2 linked regions of the Drosophila melanogaster genome follow. The main gene of each other region encodes a partner of the protein of the gene in region 2 in a complex. Each region holds a gene or a part of one and is shown on either strand. Other genes may lie near its edges. The genes, in order: Hem and Cyfip.

What was found.
Region 1: Cyfip (region 2) and Hem share a complex: the UniProt entries of both Drosophila melanogaster proteins name them as parts of the WAVE complex.

The regions. Positions count from the first base shown.
Region 1 is NT_037436.4:22,281,285-22,291,928, forward strand, and holds Hem (HEM-protein), read right to left. Parts: upstream 6,912-10,644; 5' UTR 6,704-6,911; coding exon 5,524-6,703; intron 5,459-5,523; coding exon 3,258-5,458; 3' UTR 3,070-3,257; downstream 1-3,069. Other genes in the region: Srpk79D (Serine-arginine protein kinase at 79D), read left to right, coding at 1-499, 1,278-1,548, 1,620-1,816; IleRS (Isoleucyl-tRNA synthetase), read left to right, coding at 7,513-7,655, 7,720-8,971, 9,029-9,879, 9,945-10,437, 10,499-10,644. UniProt on the Drosophila melanogaster protein: Plays a role during growth of the oocyte.
Region 2 is NT_033777.3:15,326,944-15,338,865, reverse strand, and holds Cyfip (cytoplasmic FMR1 interacting protein), read right to left. Parts: upstream 5,601-11,922; 5' UTR 5,478-5,600; coding exon 5,271-5,477; intron 5,201-5,270; coding exon 3,369-5,200; intron 3,314-3,368; coding exon 3,021-3,313; intron 2,961-3,020; coding exon 2,848-2,960; intron 2,794-2,847; coding exon 2,594-2,793; intron 2,533-2,593; coding exon 1,997-2,532; intron 1,936-1,996; coding exon 1,841-1,935; intron 1,788-1,840; coding exon 1,401-1,787; intron 1,343-1,400; coding exon 1,130-1,342; 3' UTR 501-1,129; downstream 1-500. Other genes in the region: Nagk (N-acetylglucosamine kinase), read left to right, coding at 1-282; Fkbp39 (FK506-binding protein 39kD), read left to right, coding at 5,838-5,853, 6,038-6,250, 6,318-7,162; mRpL9 (mitochondrial ribosomal protein L9), read right to left, coding at 7,309-7,983, 8,041-8,112; ea (easter), read right to left, coding at 8,505-9,235, 9,300-9,686, 9,873-9,933; CG6236 (uncharacterized protein), read left to right, coding at 10,821-10,939, 11,086-11,236, 11,303-11,490, 11,553-11,922. UniProt on the Drosophila melanogaster protein: Plays a role in guidance and morphology of central and peripheral axons and in synaptic morphology. Also required for formation of cell membrane protrusions and for bristle development.

The sequences.
Region 1 (10,644 bases), on a different chromosome or scaffold from region 2:
GATAGCTAAGTCCAAGATCAACTCGAATATTCTGAGCACGTGCACGTCCTTGACATCGACCAACGAATACTGTTTCACCAACACGAACACCACAACAGCCTCCACACCAAGTGCCCCTCCAAGTGCCACTCCTTCCTCCGCCCCTGCCTTAGCCTCTGCCACGCCCCCCAGCACGTGCACGCCCTCGTTCACGCAAATAGCTCCTTCTGCAACAGCTCCGGCTACCAGTACAACCTGTACAACATCAGCCGAGTTCTATGATGGCGATCATAAAACAACAAGCACATCAACAACAACAACATCCAATGCGATATCCTCCGCAACAACAACAACCGCGACAACGACAACAGCAATCGCTAAACTAAATGTCCATGCTAATGCCATTCCTTCGCAGAACCAGAGTCAGAGTAGCCAGAACAACACCTACACGATCCAGTCGCTCATTGACAACAGCAACGTTCGGGTAAAGATCGCCGACTTGGGGAACGCCTGCTACGACGTGAGTATCCTTTTAGATGCTTAAAGCTTCAAATATATATATTTTCGCGTCAGATAAACACATCATCATGATTTCACTCGTAGATTATGACTCAGTATGACTCAATAAAGTATATATGTATGTATATTCATAATCAGGAATGCAAACTAGAAAATTTCAATATCCAAAATTGTTTTATTTGCGCGTGGCAGTTTTGATTATTGGCAACATCTGGAATCAGCCTAATCTCAACATTCGAGCTTTTATAGGTCCTGAGATCGAGTAGTTCATACGGACAGAAGAACAAACGAACATGGCTATATGGCATCCAAAATAACACTTCACTCTACCTGTTACATACTTTTCAATGATTCTAGTGAACCCTTTTACTTTACTTTAAAGGGGGTATGGAGTTATTTGTACTTTAGATTCTTCCGATTCGGTATAAACCAATTTTTTGCCATTATTCTATTACGGTTTTTATTTTATTAGAATGGGACCAATTGTCTATAGAAAATGCAAATCAGAAAATTTCAAGAAATCAGGTCTACCTAAATAGTGGACGTGGGAGGGATAATTTTCCGAATTGAGGGCGTGACAGTTTTTTGTGGTTTGTAGGCATTAGAGTGGGCAAAATGTTTTGGCATATCAATAGAAATTGCAAGGCAGAAGGACATGGCCAGATAAACTCTTCTAGTAATCCTGACCGAGAATATATACCTTTTAAGGTCGGAAACACGACCCCGCACATGGTTTTCAAAAGTAATAAGTCCGTTTTCGGCTTTCTATGAATTCTCAGTACCATCACTTTACTGAGGACATTCAGACTCGCCAGTATCGATCAATCGAGGTTCTTTTGGGAGCGCCGTACAATTATACCGCCGACATCTGGAGCACAGCCTGTTTGGCCTTCGAGCTGGCCACCGGCGACTACCTGTTCGACCCTCACGCCGGAGAGTCTTACAGTCGGGACGAGGACCACTTGGCGCATATTGTGGAGCTGCTGGGCTCCATACCGCAGTCGGTGATCTTCCGCGGTAAGCACGGGCTGAAGTACTTCACCAGCTATGGTAGGTATCAAATCGAATTTAGCTCAAGGAATGGTGTGTGATGTGTGACCCCTGTTGATTCCCATTTGCAGGTAGCCTGAGGAACATCACCAAGCTGAAGCCCTGGAGTCTAATGAACGTGCTGGTGGAGAAGTACGACTGGGACCCGGTGGAGGCCAAGAAGTTCTCCGACTTTCTGCTGCCCATGCTTGAGTACAATCCGGTTATACGGGCGTCGGCAGCGGAGTGCCTGCAGCATCCGTGGTTGGAGCAGGAGGAGTTCGTCTAAGAGGCTCATGGAGTGACTAGACAGCCAGAGAGACACAGGCATAGGCACAGTAAAATATTGCATACATAACATACGTATTTCGTACTCGTATTGTATTTCTAGGCTTAACTTTTATATGCAAACAATTTGCCATAAAGAGGAGGTAGCAGGAAAATGGGATGAGGAGCTAGCATTAAAGGACTCGATCGAAGCACACACATTTTACACTTACGAAATGCGGACGATGTGGGGGCGTTCCGCGTCGAATTTTTTAAGCTTTTTAATTTTTGTACTTGAGAGCTTTAAAATGTAATTACTAAAGAAGCGATTTTACTTTTAACGACAAAAGCAAACGAGAGAAGTAGCGCAAATGTTTTTCAAGTTTTATTTCGACGACGTGCATATAAGTATATACATACATATACACATATATTTTTTATTAACTGAGAAACAAAAACAAAAGACAATGACGACAATTTTTAGTCAACAGATGCCTAAACTGACTGACTGAAAAGGAATACATTTTCATGCGAAACCAAGTAAAACCAAATCAGTGAGAAATGCTAAATAGATTGTACGAACTAGCAAAATATTCAGCATCACATAAATAACAATACCTTCTATAATATTAATAAGCAAGTATGTGTATAATTAACGAAACCCCATTGTAGATATCGAGAATGTTCACAAATACAGATGTAAACTCAAATATTGACAGCTTTTTAGCAGAGTGTAGTGATTTTGGTACATTTAACCGAACCCATTTGTAGATGTTTAGGCCTATGTTGATTACGAGCAGATTTGAAAAGATGCCCTACTTACCCGATTTCGGTTTGCAAAACTTATCATTTAACCATCCGTGAAAAAGAACCTATCCCAGATCATGTAATTCAAAAAGAATTAAAAACAATAATAAATCATTGCATAAAAGTCTTTGTATCGGAATTGAAAACTCAAAATCGAAATTTAAATACTACCAATGATAACTACTGAGAAATCATATTACAAAATAACGAAAACATATTTTACTACTTGCCTACAAGTATTTGTACACAAGCCTACAAAGTAACATTGAACGTGACCAAATAATTTAATATTGCGGAAGATTTTTCCCCCAAACTCATATTTAATATACACACACGTGTGCGCATGTGTCCAAATGAAATTTAACAGAAATTGAAGCGGAGGAGCTGCACGTTCGCGGGAGTGGACACATATTTCAATAAGCCGAAATAAAGAATATACATACCGATCCGATCTAGAGACAGCTTATTAATGTGGGATACTTATTTGGGTTGTATAAGCACTTTATTCGAAGTCGTACGAGTATAAAAATGCAGAGTCTAGAATACATTTGGGTATGTTTAACAGTTTTAAAGTATGTTAGATTAGCATAGTGATCGATAGTCGATCGGCGGATAAACTACATAAGCATTATGTGGAATACACAGATCGGCTCCATTTAGAGTGCCAGCCCTAAGATCTGTTCCTGCTTGTATACGCCATGGTACGCGTTGCGTATAAGCACGTAGGGAAAGCAGGACTCAAGCAGATCCATTGTGAGGAAGGGCGATTGTTTGACGATTTCGTCCAGCAGCAAATAGATGGACTCTCGGTTCCGTGTCGCCTCTTTGTCGGACTCCTGGCCCAAGCGCAGTAGGGAAGAACTGGCCAGAGCAAGGAACTCTTTCATGCGGTCCTCCATGTCACTTTGACCGCAGATGGTAAACAGGGCTCCGAAGATGTTATTAATGGCCGCCGCCATGCAGTGCGTGTTATTTGAGTGGCCATCAATTGTGGCTCTGTAGAAGGAATTTTCGTTACGGGCCAGTTTTGGTATAGACACTGCCACAAAGACCATCAGTAGACAGGCAGTGAGGTGCTCACCCTCATCGAATTCTGGCTTTTTTGATTTCAGTGTAGTTGCTAATGTGGGGTCTACCTTGCATAGCAGACCCGCTGCTGAGGCCATCTCGGAAGCAACCCTAATTTGGTCGCCTCCGGGCAAATGTTCCTGAAAGTCCTTCACTGAGCTAAGCAGGAAGGGTATGCGCTTGTCCAGCACATCAACGAGGGCTTCATGCACCAGGTTGCGGAAACATATGATCACACCAATGATCGTCATGCGTTGCAGCACGCGGTCCACGTCCTGTAAGCGCTTAAATTGCTCCTTCATCACTTCAGGTTTGTCAAAACTGGTTCGCAGTGTAATGAGCACTTCCTTGTTGGTGCTCACCAGCGACTTCAACTCTTGCACCTGGTTTGCTATGTGCCACATAAGTGTTTCGTTCAATGTTTTGATACCGTAAGGTCCCACAAGTTCTGCAAGTGCTCGCAGCTCGTTGAGATCAGAGAATTCCTGCGGGTTAAATGGTACCCAGCCCTCGGGCGAAATGGGAACAAAAGCCTTTTGGTTAATGGAGAACACAATGTTGCCAGCGGAGACACGCCTTAGCAGAACCTCACTGTACCAGGTGTTGTACAAAGCGGCAATGGTTTTCTCGCCATGAGAGTCTAAAGCCTGTGTTTGCTGCAACAGGCAGTTGTTGAAAACTCGTGTTATGTCTATGTGCACGTAGTTCTCTACTGTCTGCAGCACGTTCATGTAGGCTCGAACGCTGGCCAGCAGCTCCGAGGGCTTGGCTATCTCCATTGTCTCCTGGTTGAACATCACCATGCCAACAAGATCCCGGGAAAAGCGGTGTTCCAGGTTCTGACAGAGATACTCGCGAGGGGCAAAAGCAAACTCCCAAACGTTGACCGTGGGGCAATAATTGATTGCAAAACAAAGCTCCGTCAGGGCCATGTGCAACTTGTCCATCGTCGTCAGATCCTCTCGTGTCTTTCGGTACGACTCGTCTCCCGGCTTTCGTATGTCGTCAAAATGCTTAGACTTCGATTTGTCCTTCTTCTTACGAGCAGATTGTACGGAAAGAATCTTAGCACAGTGTTTTGGCAATAGAGCGTCTGCCATTGTGCACTGCTCATCGCAAATTGTGGTTATAATGTTTTTAGCCTCCTTAGCCATTTCCTCAAGAAATATATTTACCACGCTGAGAGACCTTTCACGTATATGGTGTCGCTCCTCCGGGCACATTTCGTGCGTACAATTTTGGAAGTGGCTGCAGATTAAGGGAAACGCTATGATGTAGCGGTTCTGCGCGGGAAACTCCAAGCACATGTGGAATTGGTCGTCAAACATTTTGTTATAGAAACAGAAGATACTGAGATCCGAGGTTTCTACTAGTATTTCGTCCAAGTTATCTACCACCCTAGTGTGGAAAACCATTGAATCCAGTAGGCGGGCCAGCTCTGCATGCTCTGCGATCCTAAGTGCAGCCTTTCCCACACTCATGTACGTTTGGAGGCGGAACCAGTCCAGGCGGAATGGTCGGAAATAAAAGAGTTCGTTGTCTTCCACCTGCTTAACTGTCAGGGCTGCAGCCGTGTTGTAGAGCGAACTGAAGATTATGCTTTCGTCTTCTGGACACATTTGCAGACTTTGCATTCGAATATTAAGATCCGTGGCATCGAATCCGGACAAGTATTGCACGTAATATCGCTGCATTACCTGGCTGTATTTACGCACAAGAGCGCGGAGTTCCTCCATGTGGAATAAGAGCTCCGGCAGCTGTCGGTCTACAAGATCTTCATTGCTCTTTCCTATAAATTTAAAATAGTTAAGGTTCACAAATTTTAATTTAATCGTAAGAAAATCCTTAACTAACCTTTATTTTTGAGAAGAGGTGGGTTGTCATTATGCCTGAGGAGCCATAGAATCTCATCGCGCGCAAGACAAAGACCGATGAAAATGAATATTGCCTTAGGTCCCAGGAGGCCTGGTTGGTCGGTCATAATAAGAGCTAGCTCCTTCAAGGCTGTTCGAAGAAACTTGCGCCGCTCCCGATGCATTAAAGCAGCTTTTTGAACCGCCGTGTTGTAGGCTTCCTTTACTTCTCCGATCCGCTTGCTGTAACCTTTAATTCCGTCGAAAGTAGCCTGAATGTATTGATGAATTTGCAGGACCTCGTCGCGGAACAAGGCCACAACCCAGCTTGACTCCAGGGCGGAGAGCCAGATTTTGTTGACTTCCGGGTACTGTCCGAGCATTTGATGGTTCAGCAGCAAGCCAAAGATTATCCAGCGGTCCATTGCCTCCAGGGATATGTACTCGCAGGACATGGTGTCAGTGCGGACGGCCTTAAGAAGAATGGCCGGATTGCCTACCAGACTCAACTTTTGCATTTCCCTCCACTTGTCTGCTGGCAGGTTTCGCAGTGCATAGATGGAGGTCAGCGACCGCAACGCACTGGTTAGCAGGCGCTGGTGGGGAATGAATTCCTCGGCCAACTTTTTTAAGGGGACCTCGTAGTCCAGAATCATCTGCCCCAAGCGGGGGAAGCCCGTGTCCGCCTGATTGTTTTGCAGCTCGTAGGCGGCATTGTACAAGCCCAGAACTGCCTTGCGGTCCTCGACCCTAGACAAAACAATCATCAAGGACACGTAGGTCACAACCAAGTCCAGATAATATTTGGTCAGCTCGAAGTTCAATGTGATGTCCAGGTGAATCTGGCAGGCGTCCATCGTGGTGAGCAGTTCGCATACATTGTCCTTGAAATCAAGTAGGTCCACGAATGTGTGGTAATACAGGGACAGCGACTTAATAATCTCCGCTTTGATGTTTACAATAGCATTGAGCCCTTTGACGTCGATGTTGGGGAACCGCTTCACGATAAACTTGATGCTCGATTCCAACGACTTCTCGGAGAGGAAGCCTGGCTTCGACTTGGTGTCGCCGCATGCTTTCTTGATGTTGTATATCCGCGTAAGAATGCCCAGGCCGCGGTCATTCAAGATGATTAGTTTCTCAGCTATCTTCTGCTGGTTCGGAAAAATTGGGCGTGCCATATCCGATGACTGTTGGCGACGTCGAATGGCTGAAGGCGAGTTTCCGGTGGAGCCCAGAACACAGGTGTGCGCTGGCGAGACGTATTGGGAGGCGTGCAAGTGCTGATTTGCCCAGTACTTATACTTTTTCGTTTGTTAAATTGGCCGAAAAGGAGCGACACAAAAGTGTACACATTACTCTTCCTCTTGTTTTCGCGTTAGTGATGACCAATGGGCTGATAGCAAAGATATATTGCTATCGATAACGATAGCTACCATATATATGCTAAACTATTGATTGTTAAAAAGAAAATATACTGCTGAGAAAAAAAACATATGGCTTAATATAATTTAAGATAATTTTTTTATAATTATATATTACAGTAATTTGGTTATACTACAAATTAATAATAGCTGGTATTTGGGGTTTTAATTTATTAGAATTATTTGTCTAAGTCAGGAATAATTGCTTTCAAAACTATTGCATAGTTTATTCATTCAATTGCCAATGGCTTTCTTACTTAGTAACTTACAGTTCAGTTTTTTATTCTTATGGCTAACAAATTTATTAAAGTTGTTAATAGTAAATAAGCCTTTCTTTTTTTTTCAGTGCTGTCGTCAGCTGATTATCAAGGATGCCGCTCATCGGAACCTACTATCGATATCGCGAACCCATGAGCTAGAGAGCGATTAATGAACCACTAGTTCCGTACCTCGGGCACGTTGTGTGCCACGCAAAAACGCCGCAAGTCAGTTGAATTTCTGATATAAAAGGTGGGCGAATAAGCTCTGTTACTTGATAAATAATACAACAGTGAACTTTGACAGCCATGGGAAAAAAACTAGAGCGGAACGACGTGTGTCGGGTGCCAGAGAACATTAATTTCCCGGCCGAGGAGGAGAACGTACTGCAGAAATGGCGACACGAAAATATCTTTGAAAAGTGCAGCCAGCTGTCGAAGGGAAAGCCCAAGTAAGTGCCGCATACGATTGCATCAGCCGATCGCCAAATTTTGTGCTAATTTTCCACCTCCAAGATACACGTTCTACGATGGACCGCCCTTTGCAACCGGGCTGCCCCACTACGGACACATTCTTGCTGGCACCATCAAGGACATCGTCACACGGTACGCATACCAGCAGGGATACCATGTGGACCGTCGCTTCGGCTGGGATTGCCACGGACTGCCCGTGGAGTTCGAGATTGACAAGCTGCTGAATATCAAGGGTCCTGAGGACGTGGCCAAGATGGGAATCGCAGCCTACAATGCCGAGTGCCGGAAGATTGTCATGCGTTACGCAGATGAGTGGGAGAATGTGGTGACGCGCGTGGGTCGCTGGATTGACTTCAAGAACGATTACAAGACGTTGTACCCATGGTACATGGAGTCCATTTGGTGGATCTTCAAGCAACTGTTCGACAAGGGTCTGGTCTACCAGGGCGTTAAGGTGATGCCCTATTCCACCGCCTGCACAACGTCCCTTTCGAACTTCGAGGCCAACCAAAACTACAAGGAGGTTGTGGACCCTTGCGTAGTAGTTGCACTGGAGGCCGTTTCGTTGCCCAATACCTTCTTCCTAGTGTGGACCACCACGCCATGGACACTGCCCTCAAACTTCGCATGCTGTGTTCATCCGACGATGACCTATGTAAAAGTGCGCGACGTAAAGAGCGACCGACTTTTTGTTCTCGCAGAGTCTCGTCTCTCTTACGTGTACAAATCGGAGACGGAGTACGAAGTGAAGGAAAAGTTTGTTGGCAAAACCCTTAAGGACCTTCACTACAAGCCGCTTTTCCCTTACTTTGCGAAGCGAGGAGCTGAGGTGAAAGCTTATCGTGTCCTGGTCGACGAGTACGTGACTGAGGATTCCGGTACGGGTATTGTGCACAATGCTCCCTACTTCGGAGAAGACGATTATCGTGTGTGCCTCGCTGCGGGCCTCATCACAAAGTCCAGTGAGGTTCTCTGCCCAGTGGACGAGGCAGGACGGTTTACTAACGAGGCAAGCGATTTCGAGGGCCAATACGTCAAAGATTCTGATAAGCAAATAATGGCCGCGCTGAAGGCACGAGGAAACTTGGTTTCCAGTGGCCAGGTGAAGCATAGCTACCCATTCTGCTGGCGGTCAGACACGCCTCTTATCTATAAGGCGGTTCCTTCCTGGTTTGTGCGCGTCGAGCACATGTCTAAAAACCTGCTTGATTGCAGTTCCCAAACGTACTGGGTGCCGGACTTCGTCAAGGAGAAACGTTTTGGAAACTGGCTGAAAGAGGCCAGAGATTGGGCTGTAAGTTTTGTAAAGGAAACTTTTTTGTTATGTTTTTAAATCAAATTATATATCTAGATCTCCCGCAATCGCTACTGGGGCACGCCGATTCCTATCTGGAGGTCGCCTAGCGGTGATGAGACCGTCGTTATCGGCAGTATCAAGCAGTTAGCCGAGCTTTCCGGCGTTCAAGTCGAGGATCTTCATAGAGAAAGTATCGACCACATTGAAATACCATCGGCAGTTCCTGGAAATCCACCACTGCGTCGCATAGCTCCTGTTTTTGACTGTTGGTTTGAATCAGGTTCAATGCCGTTCGCACAACAGCATTTCCCTTTTGAAAACGAAAAGGACTTTATGAACAATTTCCCGGCTGACTTTATAGCAGAGGGTATCGATCAGACCCGAGGCTGGTTTTACACACTCCTTGTGATTTCGACGGCGCTATTTAATAAGGCACCATTTAAAAACCTCATTGCAAGTGGACTGGTCTTAGCTGCTGATGGTCAAAAAATGTCGAAGCGCAAGAAGAACTATCCCGATCCAATGGAGGTGGTCCATAAGTATGGAGCGGATGCTCTCCGACTGTACCTTATCAATTCGCCCGTCGTAAGGGCCGAGAGTCTGCGTTTTAAGGAAGAAGGTGTGCGCGACATAATCAAAGATGTGTTCCTACCGTGGTACAATGCATACCGATTCTTACTACAAAATATCGTTCGATATGAGAAGGAGGATTTGGCAGGAAATGGACAATATACTTATGATCGTGAACGCCACTTAAAGAATATGGACAAGGCCTCCGTTATAGATGTGTGGATTTTGTCTTTTAAGGAATCCTTACTCGAGTTCTTTGCCACTGAGATGAAAATGTATCGCCTGTACACTGTCGTACCCCGGCTGACAAAGTTCATTGATCAACTTACCAATTGGTATGTTCTATAAAATTTAATGATTTAAGCATGAGTTAGTTAACGCGTGAACAATTCTCTTACAGGTATGTTCGACTAAATCGACGTCGCATCAAGGGTGAATTGGGAGCTGATCAGTGCATTCAATCACTTGACACGCTTTACGATGTTCTATACACAATGGTTAAAATGATGGCTCCTTTCACGCCTTACCTTACGGAGTACATATTCCAGCGGCTGGTATTGTTCCAGCCAGCCGGAACCCTAGAGCATGCTGACTCAGTTCACTACCAGATGATGCCGGTCAGTCAGAAAAAATTTATTCGAAACGATATTGAGCGCTCGGTGGCTTTGATGCAATCAGTTGTCGAGCTGGGTCGTGTAATGCGGGATCGAAGAACCTTGCCTGTTAAGTATCCTGTTTCGGAGATCATAGCAATTCACAAGGACTCGCAAATCCTGGAGGCAATCAAGACCTTGCAGGACTTCATTCTTAGCGAACTCAATGTTCGAAAACTTACGCTAAGCTCTGATAAGGAGAAATATGGTGTAACATTGAGAGCAGAGCCTGACCACAAGGTTTGTTTATTATGAATTTCTTACCTATAAAGATAACAAAATGGATTACTTAATTTTACAGGCGCTAGGTCAGCGGCTTAAGGGCAATTTCAAAGCGGTTATGGCTGCTATCAAGGCTCTCAGGGATGATGAAATTCAGAAGCAAGTTTCGCAGGGTTACTTTGACATTCTGGATCAAAGAATTGAACTTGATGAAGTTCGCATCAT
Region 2 (11,922 bases):
CTGGTCAAGTCCGGGGACCTAAGCGTAGTGTGCGTAGGATCCGTGTGGTCCAGCTGGGATCTGCTGCAGGAGGCCTTCATCAGTGAACTCGCTAAGACAACCATCGACTTCGACCTCAAGCTGGTGCGCATCACCAAGAGCAGTGCCTACGGAGCCTGCTACCTGGGTGCGGATAGTGCGGACTTCGATCTTCCGAGAAACTATGCCGACAACGTCACAGTACTGTACACGTACACCGATCCTCGAAAGAAAGCCAAAGCCACCAACGGCTGTAACTGTTAGATAAATTGTGTTTGACAACCCATTCCGCAATACACTTCCCAATTGCCAAATTCGCAATCAATATTCCAGTTAGTGGTACGGATAGGTAGTATTATAGCTTATCAAAAAATAAATAATTTTATCCTTTGACGAAATCCGCTGGAAAGTAAAGAAGTTTCCCTTTCAATCTTGCATCAAACTCACCTACATATACTTTCTAAACTTTTTTTGTTGGGTTTGTTAGAAATACGTATGAAAATTTTATTCGATAATGTTCATTGTATTAATTGTATGTGTCTCAATTGTTGGCTGTCGTGGCTTCTTTTCATGTATGTGGGCATACATGTGCGGCATCTTCTTTGTAATACTTTGATTGTGTTTAAAGCCAATTTGTTTTTATTTTCGCAGTGCTGTCAATTCAATTCTTTGGCTAATTTGATTCTCGAATCGGGAAGCAGAACATAAATGTATCTGTTTGTAGCGAAGGAATACATAGGCCAAAAACATAATATCTTAGGGAGCTTAGAATAGAGTATTTGGGATAATGTACGAGTAGCTGAATCGAATGCCGTAGCAAGTGAATCAAAATTACATCTACATGTATATATATATAATTGCTTGGATAAAACATTTAACGTACTGTAAGATTGAATGCGACATACCAAAAGAGATTTTCAATAAAATCGAATTCAAATAGAACCAAGACCGCCACTTTGACTAAAAAAACTGTCAAAGTTTCGGCAGCATAGCCAAGAAAACTTGGCTTTTCGGCTTCTACGTCGCTGTTTTCCTGGGGACTAATTCATCTGCGATTAAGTGTAACCTATTTGTATGCGATTAGCTTAAATGCATCCCTTTCCGGGCGACTTCAATTGTTTATGCTCTGCCGCAGCTTCTGGGGATCCTGGTAGTGCGACGAGGACGATATGACCGAGGGATGCTGAGGCGGTGGAAAACACCGCACGTGCTCCACATTTGAGCCCTCGCCATCGCCGCCCTTTAGATACTTGTTGAGAATGGAGAAGATTTGTGAGTTTAATACTTGGAACCGACGAATCCGATCCACCATTCGCTTCAATTGCTGTTAAGGAATATTCAAATTGTACTTTGGGCACTTTGGTAGTTATGTTAGAACTTACAATGCCCTTTACGTCCTCATCCTTGCCATCGACGCGCTGTACCCGCAGAATGTGGTAGCAAAAGTCCAGAGCCTCGAAGCGACGCTGCTGTCCCAGCAGTACGATCATGACGCAGCCAGCCCAGTTCAGACCTTCGCCGAAGAGCTCCTCGATGGTGTACTCCGTTCCCCTGACTGGAATGCAATAAACGAACTGCAGAGCCGACCAAAGGCGATGGAACTCCGAGCACTCATCCACGTGGATAATCCCGTTGGCCGGTGGAGGACCACACCACACAGGGTCGTCCAAATAGCTCTTCACGCGGTTGAGAATAACTTCAAAAATGCTGAGGCCACAGCAAAGACGCTCACGAGTCAGCAAATCTCCCTCTCGTGCTATCATTGCTTGCTGTTGGTAAAGATTATTATTATAAAGTTAATCAATTAAGTTTGGGGGCTCACCTTTGCAGTGCCAATCTTTTCCACGTTTGAAACTATCTGCAGATTGGCAAACTGTGCTTCAAGACGCTTTTGCTTAGCCTCCGGTTTTTCATTCTCTGAAATGGGTAGAGATGTAAGTAAGAAAAACTACCCATGAAAGCATCCACTTGTACATACCTTTGCAAAAAGGTCTGGGAAAGATGTTCTGGAAGAGGGCGGCGTGCAGTAGATCGCACACCTCCTCCTGCGAGAGCGCCTGTTCGATCAGCAGGCAAAAGATAATGCTGTTGCCAAACTCCCGGAAAGACTGAAATAGCTCTGTCTTCGCGTCCGGATATTGCACGATGTCTGTAAGATGAGCCTGATAGTAGCTGAGCACTCCAGGCGAACCATATTCGCAACGGGGTAGTTTGCATGACTTGGGCATGGCAATCATCAGCGTCTTGGTGAACTGCAGCAGCGAGCCCTGGATCAGTGGCTTAACAATGTCCTTCAGTATAATGTCCATGACGACTGCTATGCCCTGATAGCCCAGCAGGCGGCACATGGCATGGAAATGCGGTGAACCTACAAAGCCAGTGTACTGGCCATACTGTGTGGAATAGGCAGCATTCAGCTGCTTGGAACCCCACAGATAGTAATGGGACATTTGTGGCGGCTTCTCACGCTGAATAGCCTGTGACGACGAAAGATTCACTTTGGTTCGAATGAAACTGCAAGAGATAATAGTAATAATAAGTATTTTAAACAATAGAAAATTGGCGGCACACCCACCGATTCGTGGCTGCATTATAGCAGTAATTGACCAGAAAGTCGTAGTTCAATTCCACAAAGACGTGCAGTGTTATTCTGCCGTAAGGCGCCAGTACATTGTGGTTAGCCTCCTTTACCATGCCGTCAAAGTTATCCAGGGCCAAGTACTTGCTTAGCAACTTGTGGCAAATTCGATTCGCCTCTAGCAGGCCTTCGAGTTCCTGAAATTAAGCGAATTAGAGACCGATTCTAGACATCTGTAGGATTCCACTTACCACAATGCCGGTTATATCGTTGCCCTCGAAACGACTGATGGCCAACTCAATGCTCTTGTGCATGTTGGCGTTTATGCGTTGTGTGATCAGTTTGTTCAAGTCAATAGAACGGCCTTAAACGAATGGAGAAACCATTAACCAAAAGATCATGATGCAATGGGTGTTTTGCTTACCCAAAAGTTGGACATGTCGTTGTTTTAACAAGGTCTCATAACGATTATTGCGGGGATACGACTGGAAGTTGAAACCGAGTACCTCGCACTCCAAACGGAATCGCTTGTCCAAGAAGATGCTGCCCGCCAATTGCTTGTAATGGGCAAAGATCTGCTCGCTCAGCTTGTAGACAAACTGATCGAAGCACAGATTGACTTCGGCCTCCACTTCGTCGTACAGGAACTGCTTTCGGAAGACAGTGAGTGCGTAGTACGCCGAGTCGTTGTACAAGTCCAGGGGATACAAGACAAATCTGTGTGAGGCACTTAGTTAGTTCAGATCATTTCACCTATTCGCCATTTACTTACTCCATCATTGAGGGCTCCTTCGTTTGCAGAATGTGATCGGTTAGGATCCAGGGCATGGACATTTCAATCGGAAACTGAATGCGCTTCTCCATGGTGATCAGATCCTTGCACTCCTCGTTGTGCTGATGCCGCACCAAGCACTTGTTAACCTTACGACCCATGGTCATCTCCAAGTAGAACTCGCGATACCACAGCTGCGAGAGATCGCAGCACTTCTGAAGCGTGTCGCTGAAGTTGAGCAAGTAGCTCCAGTAGAACGATGTCTTGTGGAACGTGTCGATCTGCAGCAAACAGTTTCCGTCGATGTCCTTGCGCAAAGTGCGCTTGCCGCCGCTTTTGTCGGCAATCAGAGACTCCAGCATGGTGCGCACCATGTATAGCTGAGTGGAGGAAGGTCCCACATTGAGGCGAGGCACCTGGATGCGGAAGCCGCCGTCGGGATCCTTCTTGCCCTTGGCCACTGGATCGTCGGTGGGCTCATAGCCCTTTTGCCAGTCCGCCGATGTCTCTCGCACCGACATGATGATGCTCCGGATAAGATCCTTCTTATTTTTTACGGCCTTTCGCAGCGGTTCACGAAGCGAAAGCTGCACGAAGTCCTGCAGCTCGGAATAGATGTTACGCCGGATAGCCTCGCACAATACGGTTTCAATGCGCGCCATTAGCACCTGCAGTCCCTTTATCATGGCGATGACCTCGATCAGCGCGAACTTCTCTTCCGAGGTGTAATTGTAGCGGGTGGCCCGCTCGTACTCCTCAGCCTCCACGGGGCACTCCTTGTTCTGGTGATGATCAGTCGGATGCAGGAGCTTCCAGGAGTACAACTCGGTGACCACACTGGTCCACTCGGACAGCAATTGAAGGCCGCGCAGAGCCAGGTCGGCCGTAATCCGGTTCTCGGCATCAGAGGGATTCTCCTTGACGGTGGTGGTCACCTCGTTTGTGTATCGCGCCAGCTCCGAAATGTACTTGACGTGATCCTCGCGTATCTGCGGCAAATGCACCATTAGATCCGCCTGTGGGCTGATGGCGTTTGAGCTGGACAGCGGCCACTTGCTGGAATCGAAGTGCTTGCTGCGCTTTATGTAGTTGAAGGGAGCAATCTGCATGTCGCCGAAGAGGGGCACCACTTCCAGGTTCTTAAAGATGCGATCGATGCGATCCAGCCGTATCTTCTTCTTTTGATCAAGTTTGTTGATATTGCACGCATCGCTGTCCATAAGGAACAGGCCAAAGCCCATAACTTTTACCAGCATGTGCTTCTCCTCAGGGGTCAAGTACATCTTTGTCTCGAACATATGCACGCAAATGTTGACCACATCTGAGAGCAGATCCTCGTAGCCCACGATCTTCTCCAGCGTGTCCTTGACCGTGTCGCGAATCTTGTTCTGCGTGGCCAGGAACATGGACAGATTCTGCGACTCCTGCAAGGTGTGCGAGTCCGACATCACTTTGAGGAACTGCGCAGCTCGCCTGTAGGTGGAGTAATCGTTCTTCACGCTGGACTTCATGTTCTTCAGCTCGTCCAGCACGGCAAACATGTTGATAAACTTGCCTAGCGTCAATAGGTACGCCTCGGACACGAAGTCCTTGCGCTTCTCGGCGTGGCACAAGCGCTTCACCTCGCCGGAGAAGGCCTCGATGGCCTTGCGTTGGAAGTACATGAAGTTGAGCAGCTTGTTCACCTCCGGGGCTAGCACCTCGACCGTCTTCTCGTAGATCTCCACGCGATTCGGCTGCTCATTGGACTTGGGCTGCGGAATGGCGCGCGAGCAGCAGCGCCAGGTGTAGAGCATTACTGCGTGTTTCTGCCCCTCGTCCAGGAGCACATTCTGCGGGCGGAGAGAAGGGGTTCAGAGCTGTGAGTAATGCTAATGCGATAAGCCGGATACGCTAACTCACCAAGTTGGCATGGGTGGTGGCCTCCTCGATGTACTTGGCGATACCCGTGACAAATCCATTGCGATCCTCGAAATTCGTATCGAAGTTTGCCTTGTAGATAATCGAGCAGGGCTGCGCCTCGATGCAGGGCTGCTCGTCCGGCAGGGATAGCTCGTCCAACACCTCCACGTTGGACAGCGCGTCGGCTAGCGTAATCTTCTCCGTCATGCTGGGCTGCTTATCATGCTCCAGCAGCGCGAAATGGTTAAATTCTAACAAGGCGGGGCCCCAATCCAATCGACACAAATTTTTTTCGCCACAAATACAACACGACTTTTACCATTCGCCTGGGTGCGTGGACACGTGGCCATAATTAGCACATTTTTGCTGGCGGTTGGCGTCTACGATGTGCTTATGCTTATATGGCTGCGCACCGCTAATTTCGATAAGAGAAAGATAATCGATAAATACGGCGCATTGGCGGCACATCACATCACTAGCGTCTGTGGTTCCGTTTCGTTTTAGCGAACTCAATTTCTCCTATTTTATATTGCATTTTCCGTTAAGAGTAGCCTACAATTCTGCAAGATGTCGATGTTTTGGGGTAAGTCGAACTGATCTCACTTGCCCCCTCCGGGCTGGTTGTGCCAACGAGCTCTTGGGTGCTCCGACCGCGCTTTTATTGCCACCACGTGCTTGCCGCTCGATTTACCGGCAGCGTGGAGCGGCGCCATTTGCACGCCGATGTAAAGTAAACCATGTTTTTGACCAACTGTGTCCTCTTCCAGGTTTGAACATGAAGCCTGAGCGCAAGTACTCGCAGACGATCATCAAGTCGTTCCACATCTCGGGCGTGGCACTCGACAAGGGCCAGGAGGCCAAGTTGTACCTCGCTGCCGAGAAGCAGGAGTACATCGTGGCCACCGTGACCAAGGCCATTCCACAGGTTGCGCTCGACCTGAACTTCAGCAAGGGCGATCGCATCATGTTCTACACCGCCGGTAAGACCTTTTATGTCCACTATGTTCGCATGTTTATCCGTTTCTGACGCTTTCGTTCGTTTCACAGGCGACGCCAGCGTTTCTCTGTTGGGCTACTTGCACGACATTGATTCCGAAGATGATGAGGATGACGATCAAATGACGATCGAGAATTTGCTGAACTCCAAGGCGATCAAGAATAGCAAAAAGTCTGAAGATGATGAGGATGAGAATGAGAGCGGCGAGGAGGACGAGGAGGATACTGATGACGATAGCCAGATAATCGAGGAATACGAGTCCTTCCTCGAAAATGGTGAGGAGGAAGATGACGACGATGTTGATGAGGATAACGAGGAGAGTGGCGAGGAGGATGAACAGGACAGCGACGACTCCGAAGCTGAAGAGGAACAGCCAAAGGCCAAGGTTGCCAAGCTCTCTCCTGGCGCTAGCGCCAAGAAATCTGGCAAGGAGCAGAACGGTGTGGCCAAGAAGGAGGAGGCCAAGCAGCAGCAAAAGAAGAAGGAGAAGCCAGAGGCCAAGAAGGAACAACCCAAGGCCAAGGAGCCAGCCAAGCAGCAACCAGCTTCTAAGGATCCACGTACTATCACCGGAGGCGTGAAGATTGTGGATCAGGTCGTCGGCAAAGGCGAAGAAGCCAAGCAGGGCAAACGCGTATCTGTTTACTACATCGGCCGCCTGCAGTCGAACAACAAGACCTTCGACAGCCTCCTGAAGGGAAAACCATTTAAGTTCGCCCTGGGCGGCGGAGAGGTCATCAAGGGCTGGGACGTGGGAGTCGCCGGCATGAAGGTGGGCGGCAAGCGAGTCATTACCTGCCCCCCGCACATGGCGTACGGCGCACGGGGAGCTCCACCGAAGATCGGACCGAACTCCACTCTCGTCTTCGAAGTGGAACTGAAAGCTGTGCATTAGTGCACTATATTAACATCATATAGACTTGTAATCCTAAGTAAGTATCCACGTCGTACAACTTGATAAAAATGTTAAATAAACTCTGTTTTCCGGCTGTTCATAAATCAACAGTTTTGTAACAATCGCATGTATTTGGTATGGGGTCTCTAAGGGGTTTTTTCGGGTGAACATACATCCAGCAGGGGCTCAGACTGGAGTTTCCAGTGCTCGAGTACGTAAGGCAGCCGTTCGCTGGGATCTGTGCTCCAGTGGTGCAGACGACACTTGAGTCGCGCCTGTTCCAGCTTGTTTATGGTCACAGTGCAGTAGAAGTCCTTGTTCTCCTTCTTCAGGTCGGGTCCCTCGATGCGCTCCTTGGGCAGGGTAATGCACTCCTCGCGACAATAGAACCCAGTCTTGCGCAGCGAGGCCTTGATGTGCCAGGGCTCGAGCACCCATGGCTCATCCTTGTTCATGACCACCGCCAGCACAATGGTCTCCAGCATGTTGACCGTGCGCTGGGCGTAGGGGGAGCTGTGTTTAACAGTCGATTTTTCAGCCTCTGTCTTGGCGTACTTGGCCACATTCTCCGGCGTATTGTACGCGGCCAAACCCGGCAGCAGGAGCTTATTGTAGACAAAGTGCGGCTTCATTGACACCACGTCGCCCTTGTCGCCAACGCCCTCGACGAAGGTCTTTAGCACCACCTCGATGTTGGGCCGCTTTTTGACCAGCGTGTCGTCCACGAGCTCGTAGATGAAGTTCTTGGCCCTCATCCGGCGGGGTTTCTCGTTGGTTTTGTGCAGCGGCGGGTCATATTTGCGCTTCAGGACGAACGTGGTCTGGAAGCAAATTGGTGGTGAATGGGGATCGCTTCCCTAATCCAGGAGAGCACTTACCCGCACTTGCTGCTGCAGGCTGGTGGCCGATTTAAGCAAATTTAACGGCGTTACGTAGATGTTCTTCAACATTTTTACCACCAATATGTCTGCGTTGCCAGACTACTCAGCCAGTTTGCAGTGTTGCCAGATATGATTATTTAATCTGCGTGAGTTCAGCAGTAAAATTTTCAGTGACTTTGAAAACGATTATGAATTTAGTTTTTTTATTGCAACTATTTCTTTACATTTTAATAAAGCAAAATAATTTGCCCAATTTACCTTTTAATTGATTAAAAAAAATGTACCTTTGAAAGTATTATGACTGTCAATTTTAATTTAATAGTTTCATTACAAAATAAAAGATTGACTATGCCAATATTTCGGCGAACGCGCCCATCGACATGCAGTATGCGTACACGCTGTGAAGCAGTTTTTAAACGGAAACCGTTAGTCGAATTTATTTACAATATGACATTTTACAATCAGGACTCAATAGTGTTTTGTATCCAATCAACGTACTTGCCCACCAGCGTGTAAACTCCTGGCCATCCGGCCAGACCGCACGGAGTCGGTCCAAATGACACGACGCCGGCCAGGAAGTAGTAGGTGTTCACCTTGTTGGTGTCCAAGCCGATGAGCGGTCCCCCGGAGTCACCGCGACAGGAGTCGACGCCTTCCTTGCCGCCGGCACACATCTGTGTGTCCTCGAGGAGAATGTCCTGGCTGCTGTAGACGTTCTGGCACTCATCCATCCGGAATCCCTCCACGGCTGCCTTCAGCTTGAGGTTGCTGGCCGACAGCTGCTCCGTTTTGCCCCAGCCGGCCACGTCCATGGTGATGCCGTCGAAGGTGGCCGACCGCAGATTGACGTCCAGAGGCAGGCAAATGGGTCGCACAAAGTCGGTGTACTCCACCTGCTGGGCCAGACGCAGCAGGGCTATGTCGTTGACCTGGTTCTTGGAGGCCGGTATATAGTCGGGATGGGGTATAGTACGCTCCACGGGCACGTCCAGATGCGGTGGCGCGCAGTCCTTCATGCCGCGCACATCTACTTCGCAATCGGGATTAGTGTTGGTGTCCCATTCGCCCAAACGAACACCGGACAACCGCCAGTCGGTGGGCAGTGCCTTTCCGTTGACACAATGCGAGGCTGTGATCACATATCTTGTGCTGATCAAGGATCCGCCGCAATGGTGACCCTTTTTGCCCTGGCCTGCATGTAGGAATTAACCAGTGGATAAGTGCGTTCAGACTTAAGACGATGCCCCTCTACTTACTTTTGGTGTATTCAATTAGAGCCATCCAGGGGAACTCGTCGATCTTGGTCTTCATTCCGCCATAGATGCGATTGGACAGGATGTTGCCGCATTGTCCTGGCAGCGGCAGAAGGCTGTTGCTGGTTACATTGGGCTTGGGCGGTGGCGTCGTCTCCGATGAGCTCTCCCTGTAGCGGTCCGGACAGCAGATGAGCACCTTGCCGTTCGTATAGCCGCACTGGCTGCGACTCAGGTAAAGCCGGTCCGTGTCCCGGAGCGGGGTGGTGGTCAGCAGGCCGTATAGGTACTTGCAGTCCTCCAGATGGATGCACAGCGCACGCTCCCGATTCGGCGTTATGCAGCGCCCATAGTTGGGCACCTGGGCCGCCTCGTTGGGGAAGTAGAACTCTGGAAATCCAGACTTTAGGTTCAGAGAGCTTACCAATATTGTGAATACATAAATTAGGTCATTAGCTATGGAAGTACGGAAACAGGTTTCCAGCGACTTGTGAAGGCCCGCGGCAAAAAAAAACAAATACGTTAAGCTAGTCATGTCCAGCAGATGAGCATCTTGGCAGTCTTCTATTTACTTACGGCCCGCCGATGATTTCGCCAAAATGCCCAAAAAGAGGCAGATAATCGATGGCTTTAGCATTTTCGTTGCGCAATCGGACCTCGTTAGTCCTTTCTCAAGACGTCGTCAGTGGTTTGCGGATAATGTTTTGCCTAAAAACAATATTACAGACCGACCGCAGAAGCAGTTATCAAAATAAACGGCGCGATAATATGGACGATACCAGGTGCCACAGCGGAGCGGAGTGAAACGAAGAGGCCGAAGCTGAGCTTGGCGCACAACTGAATCTTCGGACGGACGCGGTTCTCGGCCTGCGAGCTTTGTCGCAAGCTTTTTGGCGAGTCTCCAAATCAGATATGAAGATAATCGTGGGAGCAGATCTTTATCTCTCTTCCAATTATTATTCTTAGTAATTGTCAGTTGGCTTATTTAACTTTGGTACTAATAGAATTTACTTTGTCACATGCTGAGTGTAAGTAAAGTACTCGGCAAATTTAAGGGAGTATCTACCATTATTTAATCCCCGCCTAAGTTCGATTGTATCACATGGTGTTTTGATAGCAAAAAGCACTATCATTAACGATAAGCTAACGGTATATTTCGTTCTACAGCAAACTGAAAGTTCTACCGACTTTAAATCGGACCTAAAGCAAAGTTTAAAGTCGCAGTTTAAATTGCAGCGGTCGCGTTGCCAAACAACACAGTATGACCGAATTCGCAATGTTGTTTGCCACTGTTTTGGCAACTCGCATATAGCGGTACGTCGCAGCTGGTGATAAGTTAAATGTTTAATTTAAAAAATGAGCGTGGATATTTAGTAAAGGTCGAATAGGCGGCAAGTTTGGAGATCGGCAGTGGTGTAAGTAGTACGTCGCTTGAGTGCCGAGTGAGTGCTGTATGTGCAGCAATAATGCGAATGCAAGTCTCATGTGTCTGGTCCGATATTTGCAGCTCATAATTTATTCAAAATGCGCTTTGTGCGGCGGGGAACTGTCCCCAAGATTGCAGCATGTTGCTGTGTGGTGGTCCTGCTGGTCACCTGGTATGTGTTGAACGTGGAGCGGGATCTGGATAAGAGCCTCAAAATGTAAGTATGTCTAGTTGTGCGTCACAGCGGCTTGGGATATTGATTGTACGATGTTTGTCCATACATATGTATATGTACATATGCGCATATTTGTGATAAAGAGTATTTATCTTTTGCAACTAATTCAATTTTGTATTTAATTAAAGCGAAATCATCGAGCGCTCCATAAGATCGGCTGTGAATCGTGGCGAGTGCCGGCATCCCCATCTGCCGCTGGACAATCCGGACATCATGAAGTTCTACAAGCCGGTTGAGCGAATAAACTGCGGCGAGGGCATGGACTGGGTCATGTGTGAGGTTGGTTGGGACTGGGCCCCTTCTACAAGAGCTGATTGCTTAACTTAAACCTCGTTTCCCCCAAAGAAATCCATTTGCTTTGTGCGACCAGAGATTGCGTCCAGCCACGAGGATGTGATCTGCTCCTACACGGACATTATTCGCAAGTCGGACTACAAGGTTCGCTTTGGGCAGTCACTGCGCATGAAGGAGCCCTATGTGCTGCAGGCCAGCGACTTTGTCAAGGTGGTCTGTCGATCCTCCAGCGGCGAGAGGTGACCATTATCTTATTTTATAGTTATGCCTATACTTTAAAGAATGATCTTCATGTACTTAGTTGGTTTGGCATGGCCCACGGAATACGGGATACGGTGCCCCGTCCACCGGCCTCCAATTTCTCCCCGAACTTGGCCGTCCTACCACCCGAGGCGGTTGCGCAGGCCCAGCAGCAGATGCAGGATGGGGCCACAGCTCCCATCTACAATGTCCTCATGTTTGGCTTCGATTCGCTGAGTCGCAATGCCTTCATTCGCAAGCTGCCCAGGACCTACGAGTATCTCACCCAACAGTTGGGCGCCACCGTTCTCAAAGGCTATAACATTGTGGGCGATGGTACGCCACAGGCGCTGGTGCCCCTACTGACGGGTTTCACGGAACTGGAGCTGCCGGAGACAAGGAAGCGGTTGTCCGGGGCAGGCAGCGTGGAT